Linked DNA regions of Macaca mulatta. The protein of the gene in region 5 interacts with the protein of the main gene of each other region in a pairwise test. Links are inferred from orthologs where the notes say so. Each region holds a gene or a part of one and is shown on either strand. Other genes may lie near its edges.

The links.
Region 1: the proteins of DTX2 (region 5) and ARNT2 interact in binary tests that used the Homo sapiens proteins (3 or more experiments, as listed by UniProt). The link is inferred for Macaca mulatta from reciprocal best matches to the Homo sapiens genes DTX2 and ARNT2.
Region 2: the proteins of DTX2 (region 5) and NCS1 interact in binary tests that used the Homo sapiens proteins (3 or more experiments, as listed by UniProt). The two-hybrid records come from large-scale screens. The link is inferred for Macaca mulatta from reciprocal best matches to the Homo sapiens genes DTX2 and NCS1.
Region 3: the proteins of DTX2 (region 5) and GLYCTK interact in binary tests that used the Homo sapiens proteins (3 or more experiments, as listed by UniProt). The two-hybrid records come from large-scale screens. The link is inferred for Macaca mulatta from reciprocal best matches to the Homo sapiens genes DTX2 and GLYCTK.
Region 4: the proteins of DTX2 (region 5) and STX12 interact in binary tests that used the Homo sapiens proteins (3 or more experiments, as listed by UniProt). The two-hybrid records come from large-scale screens. The link is inferred for Macaca mulatta from reciprocal best matches to the Homo sapiens genes DTX2 and STX12.

The regions. Positions count from the first base shown.
Region 1 is NC_133412.1:58,638,380-58,642,438, reverse strand, and holds the start of ARNT2 (aryl hydrocarbon receptor nuclear translocator 2), read right to left. Parts: upstream 2,803-4,059; 5' UTR 2,669-2,802; coding exon 2,638-2,668; intron 1-2,637. UniProt on the Homo sapiens protein: Transcription factor that plays a role in the development of the hypothalamo-pituitary axis, postnatal brain growth, and visual and renal function. Specifically recognizes the xenobiotic response element (XRE).
Region 2 is NC_133420.1:17,428,494-17,432,667, forward strand, and holds the start of NCS1 (neuronal calcium sensor 1), read right to left. Parts: upstream 2,803-4,174; 5' UTR 2,543-2,802; coding exon 2,479-2,542; intron 1-2,478. UniProt on the Homo sapiens protein: Neuronal calcium sensor, regulator of G protein-coupled receptor phosphorylation in a calcium dependent manner. Directly regulates GRK1 (RHOK), but not GRK2 to GRK5. Can substitute for calmodulin. Stimulates PI4KB kinase activity.
Region 3 is NC_133407.1:115,825,104-115,829,140, reverse strand, and holds the start of GLYCTK (glycerate kinase), read right to left. Parts: upstream 2,803-4,037; 5' UTR 2,520-2,802; intron 1,410-2,519; exon of another isoform or gene 346-1,409; 5' UTR 311-345; coding exon 1-310.
Region 4 is NC_133406.1:213,166,982-213,171,290, reverse strand, and holds the start of STX12 (syntaxin-12), read left to right. Parts: upstream 1-1,507; 5' UTR 1,508-1,521; coding exon 1,522-1,639; intron 1,640-4,309. UniProt on the Homo sapiens protein: SNARE promoting fusion of transport vesicles with target membranes. Together with SNARE STX6, promotes movement of vesicles from endosomes to the cell membrane, and may therefore function in the endocytic recycling pathway.
Region 5 is NC_133408.1:49,846,213-49,849,722, reverse strand, and holds part of DTX2 (putative E3 ubiquitin-protein ligase DTX2), read left to right. Parts: intron 1-28; coding exon 29-108; intron 109-1,945; coding exon 1,946-2,104; intron 2,105-3,067; coding exon 3,068-3,229; intron 3,230-3,510. UniProt on the Homo sapiens protein: Regulator of Notch signaling, a signaling pathway involved in cell-cell communications that regulates a broad spectrum of cell-fate determinations.

The sequences.
Region 1 (4,059 bases), on a different chromosome or scaffold from region 5:
TTCCTAGTCCATTTGATTCTGTTTACCAAGCTCTTATTCTTTGCAAAGCAACCATATCTGGGGAAAGGAGGGAGGCAGAAAAAGGAATTCAAAGAAGTGTCACAAGCCCATGGGAGGTAGGCTCTGGGTGACAAGCTCGGGTACCACGGCTCTTTTTGTTGTAAATTGTCCATAGAATCTGAACTCTCTCTCTTTGGCTCAAACCCTGAGCCATCTCCCTTGAAATTAAACCCTTTCTCCCAAAGAAGAAGATGGAGATTCACATGGGGCAAGAATAACACATCCCCATGGATCATCCTCAGGGGACCGGTAAAAGAAATGATGGTAAAACGAAAGGCGATCACCTCAAGGAATTTTCACTTGAGAAATTATCACCATGCTGAAGATCTCCGGTATAGCTGTCAACAGAGAAAAGCAGCTGTCAAGCTGGCCAGGTGTTGACTAACAACACAAACAATACCCTGTGCTTGTATCATTCAAGCCTCCACAGTCCAAGGCACAAACACAGGCTTTCCTGTGCTCCACACCACTGGGCCAGGGGCAACTACTCCATCTTTAGTCCATGTAGCTCATGGAGCAATGTAATGGACAAAACAGTTTTAAATAACGATGTCATAGAAATTATGTAAATTATTCTAGAATAATTAATTTGATTACGTAGAAATTATGTAAATCACCAGGGATTTTATTCCTGTTCCCAATGTAAACCTATATTGGACTAAAATATCTTCATTTAACTTCTTTTGCTTTTTCTGATTTCATAACATTTACATCTATCAATTTTCTATTGATTTTGAAGTAGTTGAATGGGTTGAAATTGCAGCTTCAGTCGCAGGCAAACTGGCACAGATGTGTTTCAGACCAGCCATGTTCCTTCTCAGTGTTCTGGACAGAGGCCTCCTTGTCTGTTCTTCCCATAGTCCCTATTTCTGCTGATGGAACTGCCTTCCTTGGAATTACACAGGCTCTTCACCTTGGTGTCTCCATGGACACCTCCCCTTTGTCTCTCCTTGGCCTCCTCCTTTACTCTTATTCCAAATCTAATCAGTTCCAAATATGGAACTCCTCTACCTGCCCAGTGGTGCATTCCTTCCTCTCTGGTCCAGCCATGGCCACCAATTCTGGCCTCCCCAGCACCTGCCTCATGTCATGCTGGGCTCCGTCTCAAGTCTTGTTCCCTCCTTTCTATGTTTCCTAGACATGGCTGACAAATTTATCTTCCAGAAAAAGTGATCATGCGATTTCCTTGTTCAATACCATTGTGGTCTCTCTCTCTCTCTCTCTCTCTCTCTCTCTCTCTCTTCTATTTTATTTTTCTGGATCTTAGGAAGTGTGCAGAGGACTCTCCCTTAATGTGGAGAGAGAAAGTCCATACTCCTCAGTCTGTCCTTTAAAGCCTGGTCACATCCAAACAACTCAGTGTTAAATCCCACTGCTGCCTCTTAGATCTCCAGTGCACCAACCACTCACTGACCTCTGCACATGCTTAGAACAAGTCCACTGTCATTTACGCCTGCAATGCCCCTCTGCTACTGGCTCTGTATATTCAAACATTCCCGTTTTCAACGTGCAACCGAAACGTCCAGAAGGCTTCCCTGGCCTCCTTAGATGAAAGGGATCTTTCATGCCTAATTCTATGATGACAGACACTTTACTTTGCTAAGCATCAATGTTCCTCCTCCGACCCTCCCTATCTCCAACACATGACCTCCGTTCTCTTGGGAATTTCCTGGGGGCCGCCCTCTGTGACTCTCCCTGCATCTTCCACAGGGACCTAGCAACCTGCCGTGCCCACAGCAGCCTCTGCACAACACCCAAAAGTTTGTACCAGCTTAGATGTTCACCTTTCTCTTCTCCCACACTCATCAGGTAGGGAACTTTCCCAACGAAAACGGGACTTCCCTACTATAATACCCAAACAGGTAAATGTTGCCACTCCATCAAGAACTCTTCCATTTTTGAAATCTTTCCTAATGAGCTCAGTTGTCACAGACTGCACCCTGCTGACAGGTCAGCCCAGAAAGCAGGGGATGTCACCTGGGCAGGACAGGGGCTACTTCACGCTGGTGACCACAGGCTGGGTGTTCTGGGTCCCAGAGAGTTAGGACACACAGCAGCCAGTCGCAAAGGGCGCAAAGGACCAGCGCTTGGGGGGCGGGGCGGGCAAGGGAGAGTCCCAAGAGTTGTACCCTGTTGAATCCCAGCTCCAAACTTTTCCCTCCATCAGCGCGGAGCCCTCCACCAGCCAGGACTGGCTGACGCCGTGATGCTACAAAAGCCGGGACCGGAAGAGAAAAATGCGTGGGATGGGGAAGGCAAAGGCGGTTATTTTCAGAACTTCGGGGGCTCCCGGGCCGGCCCTTCGGGTTCCGGAGGACGCAAGGCCAGCGTCCGGCCGCCCGCGGGTCCGGACCGGCGCCTGCCCGGGACCGGATGGGCAGCGATAAGGATGCAGATGCCGCTCTGGTGCTGATGCTGCAGCTGCCGCGCAGTGACAGCCGCTCCACCACCCACCGCGCCGAGCTGCTGCTCCGCGCCCCCGGGGGCGCCCGGCGCGCCTGATCCGCTCCGGCCCGCTCCGGCCCCGGGCAAGGCCTGCGGGCTGCGGCGGGCGGCGGGGCCCAGGCCGCTACTCACCCGGAGGGTTGACCGCTGCCGGGGTTGCCATCTTGCTCGGAGAGGATAGGCGCGCGCCTGGCAGGGGCGCGGGAGGGGCGGCGCGGAGCCGGGCACTTAGCCCCGGGGACCCGGTCAGGCCCAGGCGCTGCCGCCGCCACACAAAGGACGGCGCGGGCGGGCGGCGCTCCCTGCGCTCTCCCCGCCGCCGCGGCCGCTCACCGTCCCCGCCTTTCTCTCCTCCTCCTCCCCCTCCTCGGCCTCCTCCTCCCGGTTCAGCCTTTGTCGCGCGGCGGGGGGCGCCCGGCCCGCGGCTCCCGGGTCAGAGCGGTAGCACCGCGAGACTTGGGGCTGCTGGCGGCGGGACCCCCAAGTTGGGCGCTGGCGACTGGAGGGGACAGAGGGCCGGGCGCTCCCTCCGGCTCGCGCAGGTGCTCGGGCCTGGCCGGGCTGGGATCGCAGGCGCTCCTCCCGCGCTCGCCTAGCCCGGGCTGCCCCCGCACGCCCACTCCCCAGGTGTCCGGGCGCGTATCACCGAGGGGCGCCGTGCCCAGGCCAGGGGGCCAGGGCGGAGCGGGTGGGGGAGAAGCCCATTTAGATTCAGAAGGAAGCTGGTCCTGGGAGACGGCCGCGAGAAACAAAGGCGCCCCAGTGCTGCCCACTTAGCATGCCAGAGCCGCGCCGCTCGACTGCCAGGCCGGGGACACGGCGCGGTGCGAAGCGGAGGGTGCCCGACCCCGGGAATTCCTAAGGCCACGGGCACCTCCAAGGCCACCGCCGTACACAGCTTCGGAGTGCACAGTGCACATGCCCAGGCACAGGGAGCCGGGCCCAAAAAATTGTGAATGTCTTGGCTTTGAGTAAGGCGCTCAGCTCTATCTCCTTCTTGCCATGATAGCTGCCATTGGTTATTACTTGAGGACGTTGCAAGAGCCTTATTTCCACCGCCAAGTTGAGAATTTAAAAAGATTTTTTAAATAGGTTTATCCGCGTATTCTGGTGAAGTTCGGATGCAGAGAACTTGGAGGGGTTGTTTTCTACCAGACACTAGGATCCCTGTGAGAGGTAATGGCCCCTAGGAAGGACACGTCACCATCGTGGTCCCCTGTAAAGGTTAAATGGAAGAATAAAGATATCCCAGGTGAACGCTGAGAAGGGCAAGATGGCCCCTAAACGCAGATATGTTTGCAGAAACATCAAACTGCCCTAAATCCTTCCAAAGAAGCATTTTCTGGAGGGTAGAGAAGCAGTGTTTGGGATGTGTGTTCAAATAAGCATTCTCTTTGGGGAGTGTTTGTCACTACTAATCTAATAGTATATCAGTTCTACAAATGTTGAATGTCTGCTGTGTGCCAGGCACAAAGCCAGGTGTTGGGCCTACCACGGAAAGAAAGACACAGGAGCTCTGTTCTCCAAGGGCTTCTAGTTTGGGGGGTAGATTGG
Region 2 (4,174 bases), on a different chromosome or scaffold from region 5:
AAGCCCAACAAACGGGGAGAACACAGCTGTGAGCTCCACACACAAGGGCCTGCACCAGGGAGCTGACGTCAGCGCAGGAGGCAGACCGGAGGCCAACGAACCCACCGCCACCTCCAACAGCCCACCCCTAATAAGGGCTTCTACAGAGGAAAAGTCCCCAGGCCAACTCTCTCCCTGCCCAAAACTGTTCCACGTCTCCGAAGGCCTTTAAAAATAGCCCAGCCTAGCACCACAAGGGCCAGTTCCTAACAAAGCTTTGTTGACTCAACTTCTCTCAAAGTTGACAGATCTGCCCAGAGGAGGGGGCCGGACAGAATGATCACCCCAGGCCCTTCTCATTTAGAATCCACCATCATGGGCTTCTAACAAAAGCCAGAAAAAGACACATCCAGAAGAGCTTTTTTTTTTTTTTTTTTGGAGATGGAGGTTCCCTCTTGGAGCAATCTCGCCTCACCACAACCTCCGCCTCCCGGGTTCAAGTGATTCTCCTGCCTCAGCCTCCCGAGTAGCTGGGATTACAGGCATGCGCCACCATGCCCAGCTAATTGTGTATTTTTAGTAGAGTCAGGGGTTTCCCCTTGTTGTTCAGGCTGGTCCACCCGCCTCAGCCTCCCAAAGTGCTGGGATTACAGGCGTGAGCCACTGTGCCTGGCCCAGAAGAGCTCTTGGCATGAGCTCTGAGGTCTCTCACTAGCCTTGGAGCAGGACAGACCGGAATTTGAGTCCTGGCACTGTCTGGTCACTAGCTGTGGGATCATGGGAATGCCACTTTGCCCCTCTGAGCCTTAGTTTCCCCATCTGTAAATAGAGATCGCAGCAGCACCCAGCCTGGTAGAGCAGTTGTGGCGGAGTCGAGGTGCTAACGATGCCAAGAGCTTGGCAAGTGACATGCTCCATGAGCAGGAAACCTGGCTTCACTCCCCTGTCCCACCACGATGGAGGCATCCCATGCAGCCCATGCCCACCACTCCCGATGACGCCCACTGTGTCCTCACTCTCCCCCGGCACAGGGACCCAGGAAGTCCACCTGCTGGCAGCTGTGGGCCACATCTGGACTTAGCTTGAAGGAGGCCCCAGCGAATATCACAAAACAGCAGCCAGACTGGAATGGGCCACCCACCTGCCCACCTTGGAGAGAGGGTGACAGCAGCCCCTGTGCCCAGGGGCTTCACCCCTTCCAGGTAGCAGCTCCTGGGATGTGAGCTCCATGCTGCAGCATTCCACAGGAGAAGGGCCAGCACCTCGCAGCAGACTAGCACCCGTTCTGGAAAGCCCCCTTTGTTCCAAGCACGAGGGGTGAGGGGCATGGAGCTGAAGCGTGGGCTTGGACAGACCTGCAAACGTGCCCAGAAGACCGATGGAGTTGGGGGGAAGCGGGGAGCAGAGGTTGTGCAATGCACCACCAGGAGCTGCCTCCCCAGCCTCCATCAACACATGGGGCTGGCGGTCAAGCTGCTGCCTCCAGGGGTGGTGCAGAGGGCCTGGGCCCACGCAGCTGCCCGGGGATGGGTTCTGAATTCCAACCCAAGCCCAGAGCCACTGTCCCCTTCCAAGTCAAACACCCAGGCAGAGGTCCTTCCAGGCCCCGATGCGGAAGCCTTCCCTCTCAGCATCCCCTGGGTGGTCTGGACCCATTGCCATTAACCCCTGGTATGCCAGGGCACCTCCGGAGATGCTGCAGGGAAGGGGGAAGCCTGATATGGAGAAATTGGGGCTGCAAGGGGACTGCAGAGTTGTGAAGTTGGGCAAGTGGAGGGAGACACACTGAGACTGATCTGGAGACGTCCAGAAAGGACAGGCCCTCCTCCTCCGGGCAGCCCGCGACAGCTAATGATCACACACGGCCCAGATCGCCCGGGCTGTAGAAACCCATTTCCCGGTCTGGCAGACAGAGATGGAGCCAGGGAGAATCCAGCCTGTAAGTGCTGCAACCCACAGGGTGCCGGGGACCCTTCGCCGCCGTCACCGCTCGACAGGCGCTGTGCCAAGTCTCGCCACCCCCCACACACGAACGGGGCCAGGGAGGGGGCGACAGGCCAATCTCGCAGCAGCAGCGGCGGCGGCATCGTGATGCATGAATCACCAGCCCCGCGCACTAGTGCCAGTCGGCTCCGCGCAGCCGGGCGCCCCCTCCCGGGACCACCGCCCCGCCCTCACAACAGCCCCTGCCTGTTGGGACAGCTCTGCGGAGAGGGGGCCGCCAGGAGGCTGGGGTTGCCCCTCCGGACCTGGGGGTGGCGCCGCGCACGCCGACCGGCGCGCACTCCCCGGGCTGGGGGTGCCAGAACAATGGGGCCGGGCGGGGGGCAGGGGCGCGGCCCGGGAGCCTCCGAGAGGCCCACGGCGGAGGCCGGGCTGGGAGGACCGAGCGGAGGCGGCGGCGCGGAGCGGGTAGCGCGCGGGTCCGGGGGGCGGGGGCGGCGGGCGTGGGGGTGACCGGGAGGCGCGGGGCACGGGCCAGGGACCCGGAGCACTCACAGTAGGTCTTCCTGGTCAGCTCCTCCACAACTTCGGGCTTCAACTTGCTGTTGGATTTCCCCATCCTCGGCGGCCGCGGCCCCCGCCCCCCCGGGCCGGACCCGGTTGGGGCGCCCAGCGGGAGCGGCTGGGCCGGGCGGGCCGGGCCGGGGCCGCGCCTTTGTCTGCGGCGCCCGCGCTGCGCTGCGCGGCTGTCGGCGCCGGGGCGCTCGGGGCGTGGGGCGGCCGCTGGGCAGGCCCGGGCGGTCCGGGCGCCGCGGCGCGGGGCTGCCTGGGCTGGGCGCCGGCGCCGGCGCGGTGTGGCCGCGGTCGTCCCTGGTTACTGGGCTCCGCGGCACATGCTCGCTGCTGCCTCCCGCCAGCCGCCGCCCCTGCGCTCCCCGCCTCCCGCCTCCCGCCTCCCGCCCGCACCCGCGCGCCAGGGGTGGACCCGGAGCCGCCACTCAGCGCCCGGCGCCACCTCCCGCCCCGCACCCACCTGGCCGCGGCCTCCGCCAGCGGGACCCCGGCCCCGCCAGCCCGCCGGAGGGGCGTCCCCTCAGCTCAACGCGGCCCCAGGGAGGGGCAGCCACCCCCTCCCCGAATCCAGCCCTGGCGCTCCGGCCCCCGCCGCGGCGGGAGGGCCCGGAAGATTGGATGTGGATGAGGCCAAGTCCCGGCCCGGAGACATTCATTCATTCCACACGGATTCATGGGGTGCCGAGGACACGGCGGCCCACGGGACAGGAGCGCCTCAGCTCTCGCAGGGCGGGCAGGGCTGTGCAGGGTGCCGCAGGTAGCGGTGGGGGCACCTACTCTCGGCCTGGGGCAGGTGACCTCCAAGCCCAGGGTCAGGAAGGGAGGGGGGATGGAGAAGCGTTCTGGCCCAGGCAACCTGGAGAGGCGGGGAGGCCTGCACGCCCGAGGGACAGCTCCCCGGCTTATGGGCTTGCGCACCAATGCGGGCACAGGGGGCCTGGGAGAAGGGCAGGGCCCACGGGGCAGGCCCGGAAAGGCCCCTCGCCGAGGAGCTGGGCCCCTGCCCACCAGCGCCCATGAAGGGACTTCAGCAGAGTGATGGGTCAGAGCTGCTGGAGTGACAGGTCAGAGCTGCTCGGAGCTGTTTCTCTGAGCCAAGGCTGGAGTGACAGGCTCCACCTGAATGGACAGAGGCCCGTGGGTTAGCGTTGGGGGGTGGTCCAGAGGGTAAGTCCAGCACGGCCTTCCCGGGCCACCTCATCCAACGTATCACCACCTCTTGAGACCTCTCCCATCCTCCTTTCCAGCTTTAGTTTCTCTCCTTCGCATCCGTCACAAACGTCACCTATGTTTTCTGCCTCCTGTTTGTCTCTTCCATGGGAGAACACCCTCCCAGAGGGCAGAGGCGTCTCCATAACCTACAAGACCGCCTGAGGTGTGGTAGTTACCCAGCAAATCTCTGTGAGTGAGTGAAGGATGGAGGAAGGAATGACACGCGGTGCTGGGGCCCTGGGGTAGAGGAAAGAGCAGGGAGGATGAGGCAGCCCTCCCCCCGGGGCCAGCAGGGATGAGGCAGGAGTGGGGTCTCTTTTTCTTCTTTCTTTCCACAGTGTTCTAACCTCGGAGGGCCCGGAAAGCTCAGAGGAACCCTGAGCAGGGCCGAGTGCCTTCCAGCTCCCAAATCTCTCTCTTGCCTCTAAGCATACTCCATCCACTCCTGCTTTCTCCTGAAGCCCCT
Region 3 (4,037 bases), on a different chromosome or scaffold from region 5:
GCTGGCCCAGTAGTTCCTCAGCGGCAGCTGCCATGCCCATCACAGCCTTGCCAAAGCCCACCAGGTAGACGTTTTGCCTCAGCTGAAAGCTCCGGTCCCGCACCTTCAGCTGTCTGCCACTAGGGTCCAAGGATAGTGCCCGGTGCAGCATGGGGCCCGGCAGCACTGCACCCACAGCACTCTCAAACAGCTGCCAGGCCTGCTCTGCCAAGGCCATGCTGCTGGCCAGCCGGGCCACTGAGCCCCGCCAGAGGAGTGGATGCAAGGGGGCTCGGGCCAAGCGGGGCAGGACCTGCAGGGCTGCAGCCATGCCCCACTGCTCTCAGCACTGCCTGGCACCCATGGCTGCCTAGAGGGAAAAAGCACAACTGAGGCCCTTGCAAGGCAAAAGACAGGAGGTCCCCCACGGCCAGTGGACCCCACAGCTGCTGCTACAAGAAGGAGCCATCTGATAGCCCCAGGAGACTTCCTGAAGCCCACAGCTGCAGGATCTCACTCATCCTTGGATACCAGCCCTGCCACCCAGCCATGTCCTCCTCTTCTGCAGACCACATGCCGGCCCTCTGGATACTCTGCCTTAAGTCCAAAGTTCCTATTAGCTGGGCCCTCCTCCTAGGTCAACCCTTTGGCTGTGAGTTAATCATTGACAGAGGGAGTAATTTCTACCAGTGGGCTCCCATCCCACCCCTTTTCCACCCCCTGCACTTCTGAGCTCTTACCCAGGGGCAACGCCCCTTTCTGGCACTCCTTCCTTGCCTCTTTACTACCTCTGCTGCCAGGAGTCTGTTGATTGTCCCACCAACTGACCCCGAGCCCACTGACCTCCAGCCTACTCTACTTTATCTCATAAGACTGGGATTAGGAGGCTGGGAAGTCAGGGTCTATAGGAGGCTGCAGGTTTATCAGGTCAAGCCCAGAGCATATCCTCAGGGCAAGCAATCTGAGGAATCCCAGTATTCAGGCCAGTTCAGCAAGAGGTTTAGTTTCAAATCAGGAGTGAGGGCAAAGTCTGGCTCATGGTGGAACCTTAGGAAAGTCCCCAGGCACCATGTGAGGCCATGTGCCATGAAGCCCAATTGCAGGACAGAAAAGGATGCCCTTCTACCCACATAGCTGGCCAGACCCAACCCTGCCAAGAACACCCCTTCTAGTTCCAAGATAACAAAAACAAGTCCTAGATCACACCACCCACAGTGGTGAGAGCCCAAGAGCTGAAGTAGGCAAAGGCCAGGCTCCCATAACTGAGCCCAGATAGCCATTTTCCCCACTGGGCAGAGTAAAAGCTAAAGAAGCCTTGGGGTGAAGGTCAGGAAGCTGTAGAGGGGTATAGGAACAACAAAGACCCAAAGAGCTCATCTGTACTACATATGTACTATTGCATCTACTTTAATAAATGCCTACCATAAATGCTGCAAGCTGACTTCATCAGCAAGTATGGACTGAGCGGGGTAAGGAGGCTGGGAATTGAGCTTCCAGCTGTATCTACTACAGGTTTTCTGAGTGGCTGGGACACATCCATTTCTCTCACTGGGCCTCATCCACAAAATGAGACACAAGGTGAGATTAACACTACACTCTCCCCTTAACACCCTCAGGCTCTCTGATACTGTCCACTGCAACACAGATCTCAAATACCGGTTTATCCCACACCCAAATGTGGTGGTTACTTCTAGACTCTGACCATTTTGTCTGCCTAGTCTCAGCTCTCCCGTAAGAGAAGACAGCCATGCTTGACTTCTGTTGTGAAACGGAACACAGAGGGCATCGTCATGGGGATTCCGAAAATGGGTCCAGTTATGGCCAGGGGGACCCCTGGAGCTTGCCCATTAGGCTTGGAGCTAAAAGCATCTTAGCAACTAAGACAGCCGGTCTTTATAGGGTGAAATCTGTATTTATTTCCCAGATGGACAAGAGCCTAGAAGATCCCAGTCTTGCCACTGGGTATGAGCAGAGGACAGGGGACGCTCAATGCCAAGGCTGCCAGAGAAAATACAGGACGTCCTGTTAAATTTGAATTTCAGAAAAACAAGTAATTTTTAAAGTATAAATATGTGCATACAATGTTTAGGACTTAACAATTATTCATCGTTTATCTTAACTCAAATTTAACTGGACACGGCCGGGCGCAGTGGCTCAGGCCTGTAATCCCAGCACTCTGGAAGGCTGAGGCGGGCGCATCACCTAAGGTGTGGAATTACAGACCAGCCTGACCAGCATGGTAAAACCCCGTCTCTACTAAAGATACAAAAATTAGCCAGGTGTGGTGGGCGCCTGTAATCCAGCTACTCAGGAGACTGAGGCACGCGAATCATTTGAACCGGGGAGGCGGAGGTTGCAGTGAGCCGAGATCGCGCCACTGCACTCCAGCCTGGGTGACAGAGTGAGACTCTGTCTCAAAAAAAAAAAATTAACTGGACTCTCTGCATTTTTATTTGCTAAGTCCTCCAATTCTATACAAGACATAGTCTCTCCAAAACTCCGGAGGGATCCAAAGCAAAACACGGAAACAGGAAGACTACCGGCCTTGACTCCTCCCCGCTATTAAAGGGGGCTGGCACCATTTCCGGTTTCCCGCAGTCAGCAGGGGGCTGGAAGTGACGTCATCCTCAGGTAGGGCCTTCGCGAGGCAAACCGCTGCCGCGTAATGCCAGGTGATACGAGAAAGAAGGGCCTGCTGCCACCAAGACCCTTCGTCGCCCAGCCCAGGGATTGCTTCTGAAGGTCATGCGCGCCCTGCAGGCGCAGACTTACCAGCCCACAGCTCCGGGCCACGGCGCCCAGCACTGGAGACCGGAAGTACTCGCGGGTGGGCGGAGCGGAATCCGGAAGTGTGGGTGGGTGGATCCGCGCTGGCGGCTGCGAGCTCTAGCTGAAGCTGGGGTCTGGAAGGGAGAGTTTAGGATATTGACTCCTTGCTGGCCACCAACAGACCTGGAAGGAGTCACCTTAAGTCCTCATTTTCTTAATCTCTACATTGAGGGTAATAATCCCCGCCTCACTGATTGCAGATTTTTTTTTCGAGACGGGGGTCTCACTCTGTCGCCCAGACTGGAGTGCAGAGGCGCGGTCTCGGCCCAGTGCAACCTCCGCCTCCCGGATTCAAGCGATTCTCATGCCTCAGCCTCCTGAATAGCTGGGATTACAGGCATGTGCCACCACGCCGGGCTAATTTTTGTATTTTTTAGTAGAGACCAGCTTTCGCCATGTTGGCCTCTCTGGTCTCGAACGCCTAACCTCAATCGATCCACCCACCTCAGCCTCCCAAAGTGATGGGATTACACACTTGAGCCGCCGCGCCTGGCCTCTCCCTTCCTTTATCTTGTACGATCAGTCAGCAGATACACCCTGAGGACTGGGCTGAGCAAACGAACTGAGAATCACTACTTACCCACAACTAACCCCTTCTGGAGCCAGATTAAGTAATTCTCGCTCCTCTCCATGGTTTTTATTCCACAACTTATTAGTGTTCTCCCCTCTCCCACCATGGGCCACCAAATACAGCTCTGACCTAGCGAGAGTTCCATTCCGCTATCCTCAAGCACATAAGCTGCATGTAAAAGCGAATGACTCAGGACCTTCCTCACTGTCCCTGCTCTCATGCTGGGCCCACCCTGAGCTGGCTGGATGCCTTCCCACATTCATAAGATGAGTCCTCATCAGACTCCAAGAACACGAAACAGTTCACTGTTTTTACTGATGTTTTCTTATGGAGATAGAGGAGAGAGTTGCATCACAAATCACATACTTGATTTCCTAACGATTTTATTGAAACATGTTTCTTGGCAGGGCCCAGTGTTTCACGCCTGTAATACCAACACTTGGGGGGGCCAAGGTGGGCGGATCGCTTGAGCCTAGAAATCCGAGACCAGCCTGAGAACATGGCAAAACTCTTATCTCTACAAAAAAAAAAAAAGAGCCGGGTGTGGTGGCATGCTCTTGTAGTCCCAGCTACTCGGGAGGCTGAGGTGGGAGGATCTCCTGAGCATGGGAGGTAGAGGCTACAGTGAACCTTGATCATGCCACTGCACTCCAGCCTG
Region 4 (4,309 bases), on a different chromosome or scaffold from region 5:
AAATAGAGATAGCCACCCTTAAAAAATCCTAAGGCTGGTGGTGATCACTTGAGCCCAGGAGTTCGAGACCAGCCTGGACAACATGGCCAAACCCCATCACTACAAAAAATAGAAAAATTAGCTGGGCGTGGTGGCGCACGCCTGTAGTCCCAACTACTTGGAGGCTGAGGTAGGAGGATCTCTTGAGCCCAGGAGAAGGAGGTTGCAGTGAGCGGAGATCATGCCACTGCACTCCAACCTGTGTGACAGAGCGAAACCCTGTCTCAAAAAAAATAAAATAAAATAAAGAAAAAACCCTAAGGCCATATACAGGCTCATTCACTTGGGGTCTCCTTTCACCCAGGCAAGCAGCTTTCCGTCTTTGCATTTTCCAAAGACTGCAAAGCAGGCTGGGGTGGGGTGGAGAACACAGGAAACAGCCAGTTCCCCTTCACTTCTCACCATCTTGATCTCCTCCCAAACCAAAATCCTATGTCTTTCCTTTTAACATACGCTTACAGAAATGCAGTCTTCTGTAGGAAAATTGAGGTCATGCATTCCAAAGTATTTAAGGGTATGATTTTTAAATTTTAGGAATCTAGTTCTCCAAGAAATCCCGGTTTGGGATATAGATGAACGAGCTATTTGGGAGAGATTTCGATGAGAATGAATTTTAGAGAAGTAGCAAGGTGAGGAGAGAGTCAGCTTAGCGTTTGGCTTTTGCAGTCAAACTTCAGCAAGGCGAAGTAACCTCGCTGGTCTTAATTTTCTCATCGGTAATAGGGAAAATAATAATGCTAACATTGATGAGTTACTTTACTTCAATATTTAAAAAACCGACTCTCCGCTATCTATTCTAATGATAAAAATGTAGACAGAGCATCGTCCCTTGCTGTGAAAAATCTTATGAACAAGTGAATTGCGGTGAGGATTCACACATAGTATGTGCTTAATAAACATTATTATTTTATTGTTTAGATTAGAAGAGGGGTGGAGGGAGAAATGAAAGCGGTTTGGAAACCCCAAATACTACCAAAACCCTGGGGACGGAAGTAGAGAGGAATTTCGGGTTACGATTTGGTTCCTGGTCTGAGTTTCAACGTTGAATACTCCCATATTTGGGCCTGAATTCTCAAAACAGAATAGGATGTAAGGGCTGAGATCATCTGGTACAGTTTTATGCAAATCGAAAATTCTTGCCTCTTGTCAATGTGCCCTGGCGAGAAACAACACCTCCACCCAAGCTCATCCAATCTCAGCCCCAACTAGGTGACGTCATCTCTCCGCCCCGCAACCCCCAAGCCCCAGGCAGTCCTGTCTCTAAGATACAGTCCCAGCCCCAGTCCCAGCGGCGCCTGCGCACTTTGAACAGGGGCGGGGAGGACGCGTGCGCGCTGCGTGGGGGCGGGACTAGTGCGCACGCAGCCTTAGCTTCTTCCCCGCCCTTGCTCTTCCCAGTTTCTCCGTCAGCCTGCGGGTCCCGGCTGGCGGCTGCTTCCGGTAGGAGAGTGGTGTAGGGCGAGCAGGTCTCAGCTCCTCATCATGTCATACGGTCCCTTAGATATGTACCGGAACCTGGGGCCCTCAGGGCCCCAGCTCCGGGACTTCAGCAGCATCATCCAGACGTGCAGCGGCAACATCCAGCGGATCAGCCAAGCCAGTGAGCCGGGGTACCGAGCTGGGGGGCGGGAGCTGTCCCCGGGACAGGCCTGGGTGAGACTGTCGGGTCGCGGAGCCCGGCTGGGACTACGGCCGAGGCCACACCTGGGGCTGTCTCGGGCTGTCCACCCTGGGGGCGGTGGGCTTGCCTCCCCCAGTCTGTCAGGCCCGGGCTGCCCGAGGGTCCCCGGCCCCAGCTGAAGCTTGAGCTGCTTCTCTGGAGTTCTGCCCCCACGGTTCTGGGACCAAAACAGCCCGAGGGTGGGAAGGGGAGTGTGTGTCATCTCGAGAGCTGTGAGTGCGTTGACTTGGCGCAGTGGTCAGCCGAGTTTCTCCTGTCATCCACCTTCCTCCCCACCCACCTCGCTTTCCTCTTAGGCCAGTTTGGATGGGGTTGTTTACTGATTTAGGCTTTAGGTTTACATTCTGCTCAGCCCCTGGCTCCTCGGAAATCAGCAACTTTCAATTAAGGGAAGTGGAGAGTGCATGTGTTTGGATGACTTCATACACAGTTCTTCCTGTAATGAATTCGGAAATCAGACACAATGACTGGTATTTGAGAGGTGGGATGACTTCTGTTTTAATAAAGATAATTCACCAGCAACATTTCAACTTACATTATTTTGTCTTTTGTAACAAAGCATTGGGGTGTATTTTTGGATTTCAGGCAGATGAGGCTTTTGTTTTCCTTCCCTACTTAGCTGCTCTTGAACAAATCTGGTACACAGGGAAGCTAAGAGACTTAGCCACAACCACAGAGCAAGTAATGCATGGTAGAGTTGTTGGTGGAATTCAGAATGGTATTGCTTGTCTTAAAACTCCCTCCTCCCCATTAGGGTCTGAGTGAAACTGTAGCTGAATGAGTCAAATACAGGGTGTTTCTTGGGCTTGAAAATCATCTTGGAGCCTTATAAACAGGAGATCAGCAACAGCTTTACTTGGAAAGAATGGTGGTCATCATCCTTATTGTTTATTATTGTGTTTTGTGAGCTTGGTGTACTCTGTTAATAGGTAGAACTAGTTAGTCCTGAATTACAATTCTGTATTTTAAATAATATCACTTTGCTTTAGTTTTTAAACTTTAAAAAATTTTTCTTTTTTGTAGAGATGAAGTCTTGCTGTGTTGGCCAGGCTGGTCTCAAACCCCTGGGCACAAGCACTTCTCCCACCTCAGCCTCCCAAAGTGCTGGGATTACAGGCGTGAGCCACTGTGCCCAGCCTAATTTTTTTAATTTAAAAAAATTAAATATTTTAAATTTGTTTTTAAGAGATGGAGTCTAGCTCTGTCACCCAGGCAGAGTGCAGTGATCTGAGTGAAGTAGAGCGATCCTAGCTGGCTATAACCTTGAATTCCTGATCAGCTTGCTGAGTCGCGAGGACTACAAGGATGCATCTACCATGCCAGGCTAATTTTTAAATTTTTTGTAGGGATGGGGTCTCACTATGTTGCCCAGGCTCACTTTGCTTTTAAATCTAAATGTATATTGTAGAATTTGAGAAGTTTCTGATCAAAAGCAGTTGAGACTCTGGAAGTGAAAGGAAGGGTATGTGACCTCTTAAAATCCAGAACTAAAAAAAAATAATATGACCACTGGTTAGAAAGTGTAGTACTTTTTGTTCCAGTTTCCTTTTGTGAAGGAGCTGTAATACAGGTTAGATCAGAAAATTCTAGTTCAAGGCTGAAATTTTCTTGTTGAAGCTAAATCTGATTTTAATATCTATTTGCAAAATATTCATTCAACTTGTATTCAATATTATATATATCATATATAATATTATATTTAATATATAATATAAACATGAAGATGGATAGATGGATACATGTTGAATGAATATTATATACATGCTGATATATATATATATATATATAAAACCAGAATACTCCCAAAGGTAGATCCAACATACATTTTAAAATTTACATTTAAATTTTTGTTTTGAGACAGGGTCTCACTCTGTCACCCAGGCTGGAGTGCAGTGGCATGATCTCAGCTCACTGCAGCCTCAGCTTCCCTGGCTCAAGCAGTCCTCCTGCCTCAGCCCTACAAGTAGCTGGGACTACAGGTGTGCACCACCATGCCCGGCTAATTTTTTTTTTTTTCTTTTGAGATGGAGTCTTGCTGTGTCGCCCAGGCTGGAGTGCAGTGGCACAATCTCCGCTCACTGCAAGCCCCGCCTCCTGGGTTCACACCATTCTCCTGCCTCAGCCTCCTGAGTAGCTGGGACTACAGGCGCCCACCACCACGCCCGGCTAATTTTTTTTTTTTTTTTTTTTTTTTTTTTTTTGAGACGGAGTCTCGCTCTGTCGCCCAGGCTGGAGTGCAGTGGCCGGTTCTCAGCTCACTGCACGCTCCGCCTCCCGGGTTTATGCCATTCTCCTGCCTCAGCCTCCCAAGTAGCTGGGAGACGGGGTTTCACCGTGTTAGCCAAGATGGTCTCGATCTCCTGACCTCGCGATCCGCCCGTCTCAGCCTCCCAAAGTGCTGGGATTACAGGCTTGAGCCACCGCGCCCGGCCAATTTTTTGTAGTTTTAGTGGAGACGGGGTTTCACCGTATTAGCCAGGATGGTCTCGATCTCCTGACCTCGTGATTCGCCTGCCTTGGCCTCCCAAAGTGCTGGGAATACAGGCATGAGCCACTGCGCCTGGCCCATGCCTGGCTAATTTTTATATT
Region 5 (3,510 bases):
ATGCTGCTTATGTACTTCTCTCTTCTAGGAGGGACCCCGAAGCCAGAGCCACAGCCAGAGCAGGTCATAAAAAACTACACGGAAGAGCTGCAAGTGCCCCCAGATGAGGTTTGTGTCTTGGGAGCTGGGCTGCCTTTGTTTCTGTTTGCAGACAACTCCAGATAGAAAGGACATCTGCCCCTTCTCGCTTGAAGGGTGCTTCCCAGGTGCCTCTGAGTGCCAGGACCTTGCTCCAGCCCCTTTGGTTTCATCTCCCAGCCTCCTGAGACCCATATCGTTATGATCTGAGCTTTGCACTTAAGGAGCTGTGGTCCTGAGCAAAGTCCCTCCTCTCCCGGCCCTGGCCTCTCTGTAGCCTGATGGCCGTCCTGGGAGCAGGAATCCCGGAGACAAGGGATGGGCCAGCCTGCCCCACTCTCCGCCGTGCGGATGCTGGTGTAGAAGTGAGGTGGCCTCGTCCAGGTGGCTGCCCTGCCCCTCCAGCTGTTGGGAGAGCTGGTTAAGGTTCCTATAATTTTTTTATTCTTAAAGACAGGGGCACGCACTGTCGCCCAGGCTCAGTGCAGTGGTGTGATCACAGCTCACTGCAGCCCTGTCCTCCTGGCCTCCTGTAATGAATGGGACCAGTCAGACTCCTGTTGCTCTTCCATAGAACCTGAACCTCTGCTGAGCCACGTTTTGGGGGCTGCGGCACCCCTTTCCCCCGATTTTAGTGGGGAACCCTGGAGATACTGTTGGGGGGGTAGGGTGAATGGCTAGGAGTACCAGTACCCAGGCACTCTTCAGATACTGGGGGGCGGGTGAATGGCCAGGAGTACCAGTACCCAGAGACCTTCAGATACTGGGGAACGGGTGAAAGGCCAGGAGCCCCAGTACCCAGGGACTCTTCACTTATGTCTCTCTCCAGTCAGTTGAGTCCACGAAAAAAATCTGGTAAGTAAAGCTTTGGACAGGAGCCTCAAAGTCCTCCTCATGCGTCCCACCCCTTCAACAAGCCCTTGCCGCATTCCCTCCTGCCCAGTGCTTAGCTCTGTCTCCGCTCTGGTGCCCATCTGGTATGACTGGGCCGTTTCACCCCAGGCTCCTCCTCTCCAAGCTGCCGTCTGCACAGCCAGCACGTAGCTCAGATCATGGGAGCACTCCCTGCCTGGAACCCCCAGCAGGATCCCCAACTCGCACACAGCCCCAGCCCCTGAGTGTGGCAGCCAGAACCCCGAGGGCCCGCCTCTCCCTGATCCTGTCTCATCTCCTGCTCCCCGCTCCCCCCCTGCCAGCTTTAGTGCCCATGTGCTGGCTCCTCGTTCAAAACATCCTCCTCCCTCTTCCCAGGTGCCCGCTCCGTGCTTGTCCATCTGGCAATTCCTGTCTCCCTTGTACGACCCCACTCCGAGGGCCTCCCCCAGGATCCTGCCCTGTCCATCCTCCCCATTTGGTGGCTCCTGCTGTCATGTCAGGCCTGTGCTGCTGTTAAGCTCTTTAAGGGCACAGGTCCCAGTGACTCACCTGTCTTTCCAGCCTGTGGAATGGACGATTTTTTTTTTTTCCTGAGATGGAGTCTTACTCTGTCGCCCAGGCTGGAGTGCAGTGGCACAGTCTCAGCTCTGCAACCTCTGCCCCCTGAGTTCAAGCAATTTTCTTGCCTCAGCCTCCCGAGTAGCTGGGATTATAGGCGCCCACCAACACGCCTGGCTAATTTTTGTATTCTTAGTAGACATGGAGTTTTCCCATGTTGGCCAGGCTGGCCTCACATTCCTGACCTCAGGTGATCGGCCTCCCAGAGTGCTGGAATTACAGGGCTGAGCCACTGAGCCACTGAGCCTGGTCTTGGAATTGACTTTGACCACACTTCCAGCATTTCAGCACGTGAAAGCCTCTTTTTCCAAGACTGGCCCTCGTCAGCCCAGCCCACTGTTGGCGAGCATGACCTGTGTTTGGTCTCCTCCAGGACTGCATCATCTGCATGGAGAAGCTGTCCGCAGCATCTGGGTACAGCGACGTGACTGACAGCAAGGCCATCGGGCCCCTGGCTGTGGGCCGCCTCACCAAGTGCAGTCACGCCTTCCACCTGCTGTGCCTGCTGGCCATGTACTGCAATGGCAACAAGGTGCCCCCACTGGCCCGGGGTGGAGGCGGGTGGCCTGCCCCCACAGTCCTGAGCTGTCCACACCTGCAGAGGCGGGAGGGTTCTGGGGGTGGCTGCGGGGACGGGCCTCTGCAAAAGATGGTGCCGGGCGTGGGGCCAGCTTGAAGACCTTTCTAAAGGCCTGGCCGGCTCTCCCAGGCCTGCCCTACTCTCCTAGGCCTGCCCCACGCTTTAGAAAGGGGGACCAATGGGGCTGGTTCCCTCCACCCCTCCAACCAGGCCTGAGGAGATTGTGGGCTTCTCCAAGCCTCAGGGCACCGCCTCCCCCTCGGCCACTTGTCAGCGCTGCACACGCTGTCTCCCTTCTTCCTTACAGCGACCCTGTGTGGTCAGCACAGTGCCCATGAGGGAGAGGCGCAGAGCAGGGTTGCCCTACTGGGTGGTGGGAGCCAGGCCACGAGGCAGGGCTGACCCTGGGTCCCACGGCAGCCTACACGTGAAGAGCCACGCCCAAGCCGATCCCTGGCTGCTGTCTCTGCAGCGGCCTTCAGGCAGGATGGGCAGAGTTTGGAGGCTTAGAGAACCAAGTCATGTGGCGCGTCAGAGCCTGGCTTGGCCTTCCCTAGTGTCTGCCGTCCTGGGCAGCCAGGGCCCAGCTCCACAGATCAGGCGCTGCAAGGCTGTCTGTCAGACTTCAAATGCGCTTCACCCGTGGAGACTTCTGCTCAGGATCCGAGTTTTCCCACTCACCACCTGTCTCCTGATAGCATGCTCCTTTAACGAAAACGGCATAATGAGTTGCTGGTGCAAAACAAAGCTTTCCAGGGAAGCTGTTGGAAGCCAGTTTCCGGGCGGGAGGCTGCCAGCAACTCCCTGGGATGGCGGCTGGCCCGTTCCCGGGGCCCTTTACCATCTGACGGTGGAGGTGACGGTCTTGGGTGCTCTCAGCCAGCCAGCTCAGTGGGTCGCATCTGCCTCTCTCAGGATGGAAGTCTGCAGTGTCCCTCCTGCAAAACCATCTATGGAGAGAAGACGGGGACCCAGCCCCAGGGAAAGATGGAGGTATTACGGTTCCAGATGTCGCTCCCTGGCCACGAGGACTGCGGGACCATCCTCATAGTTTACAACATTCCCCATGGCATCCAGGTGAGGGGCCTTCCTGGAGTCCCCACTCCCGGCCAGTCCTCTTCCCCCCCCCACCCACGTCCCAGCAGTCTGCCCCTGGATCAAGGCTGAGGATGCCCATGTGGCCAAGCTCAGGCCCCCAGGTCCCCTAAGGCCAGGGCCATGGAGGGCCAGGAATGGAGAGGCAGTGCCGGGACTTGGGGCAAGCTCTTAGGGCTGTGGCAGCAGAGAGCTGGCCCTCCACTCTTTCCCAAACCAGGGAAGCCTTCCTGGAGGAGGAGCCATCTTAGCTAGACTTGTTC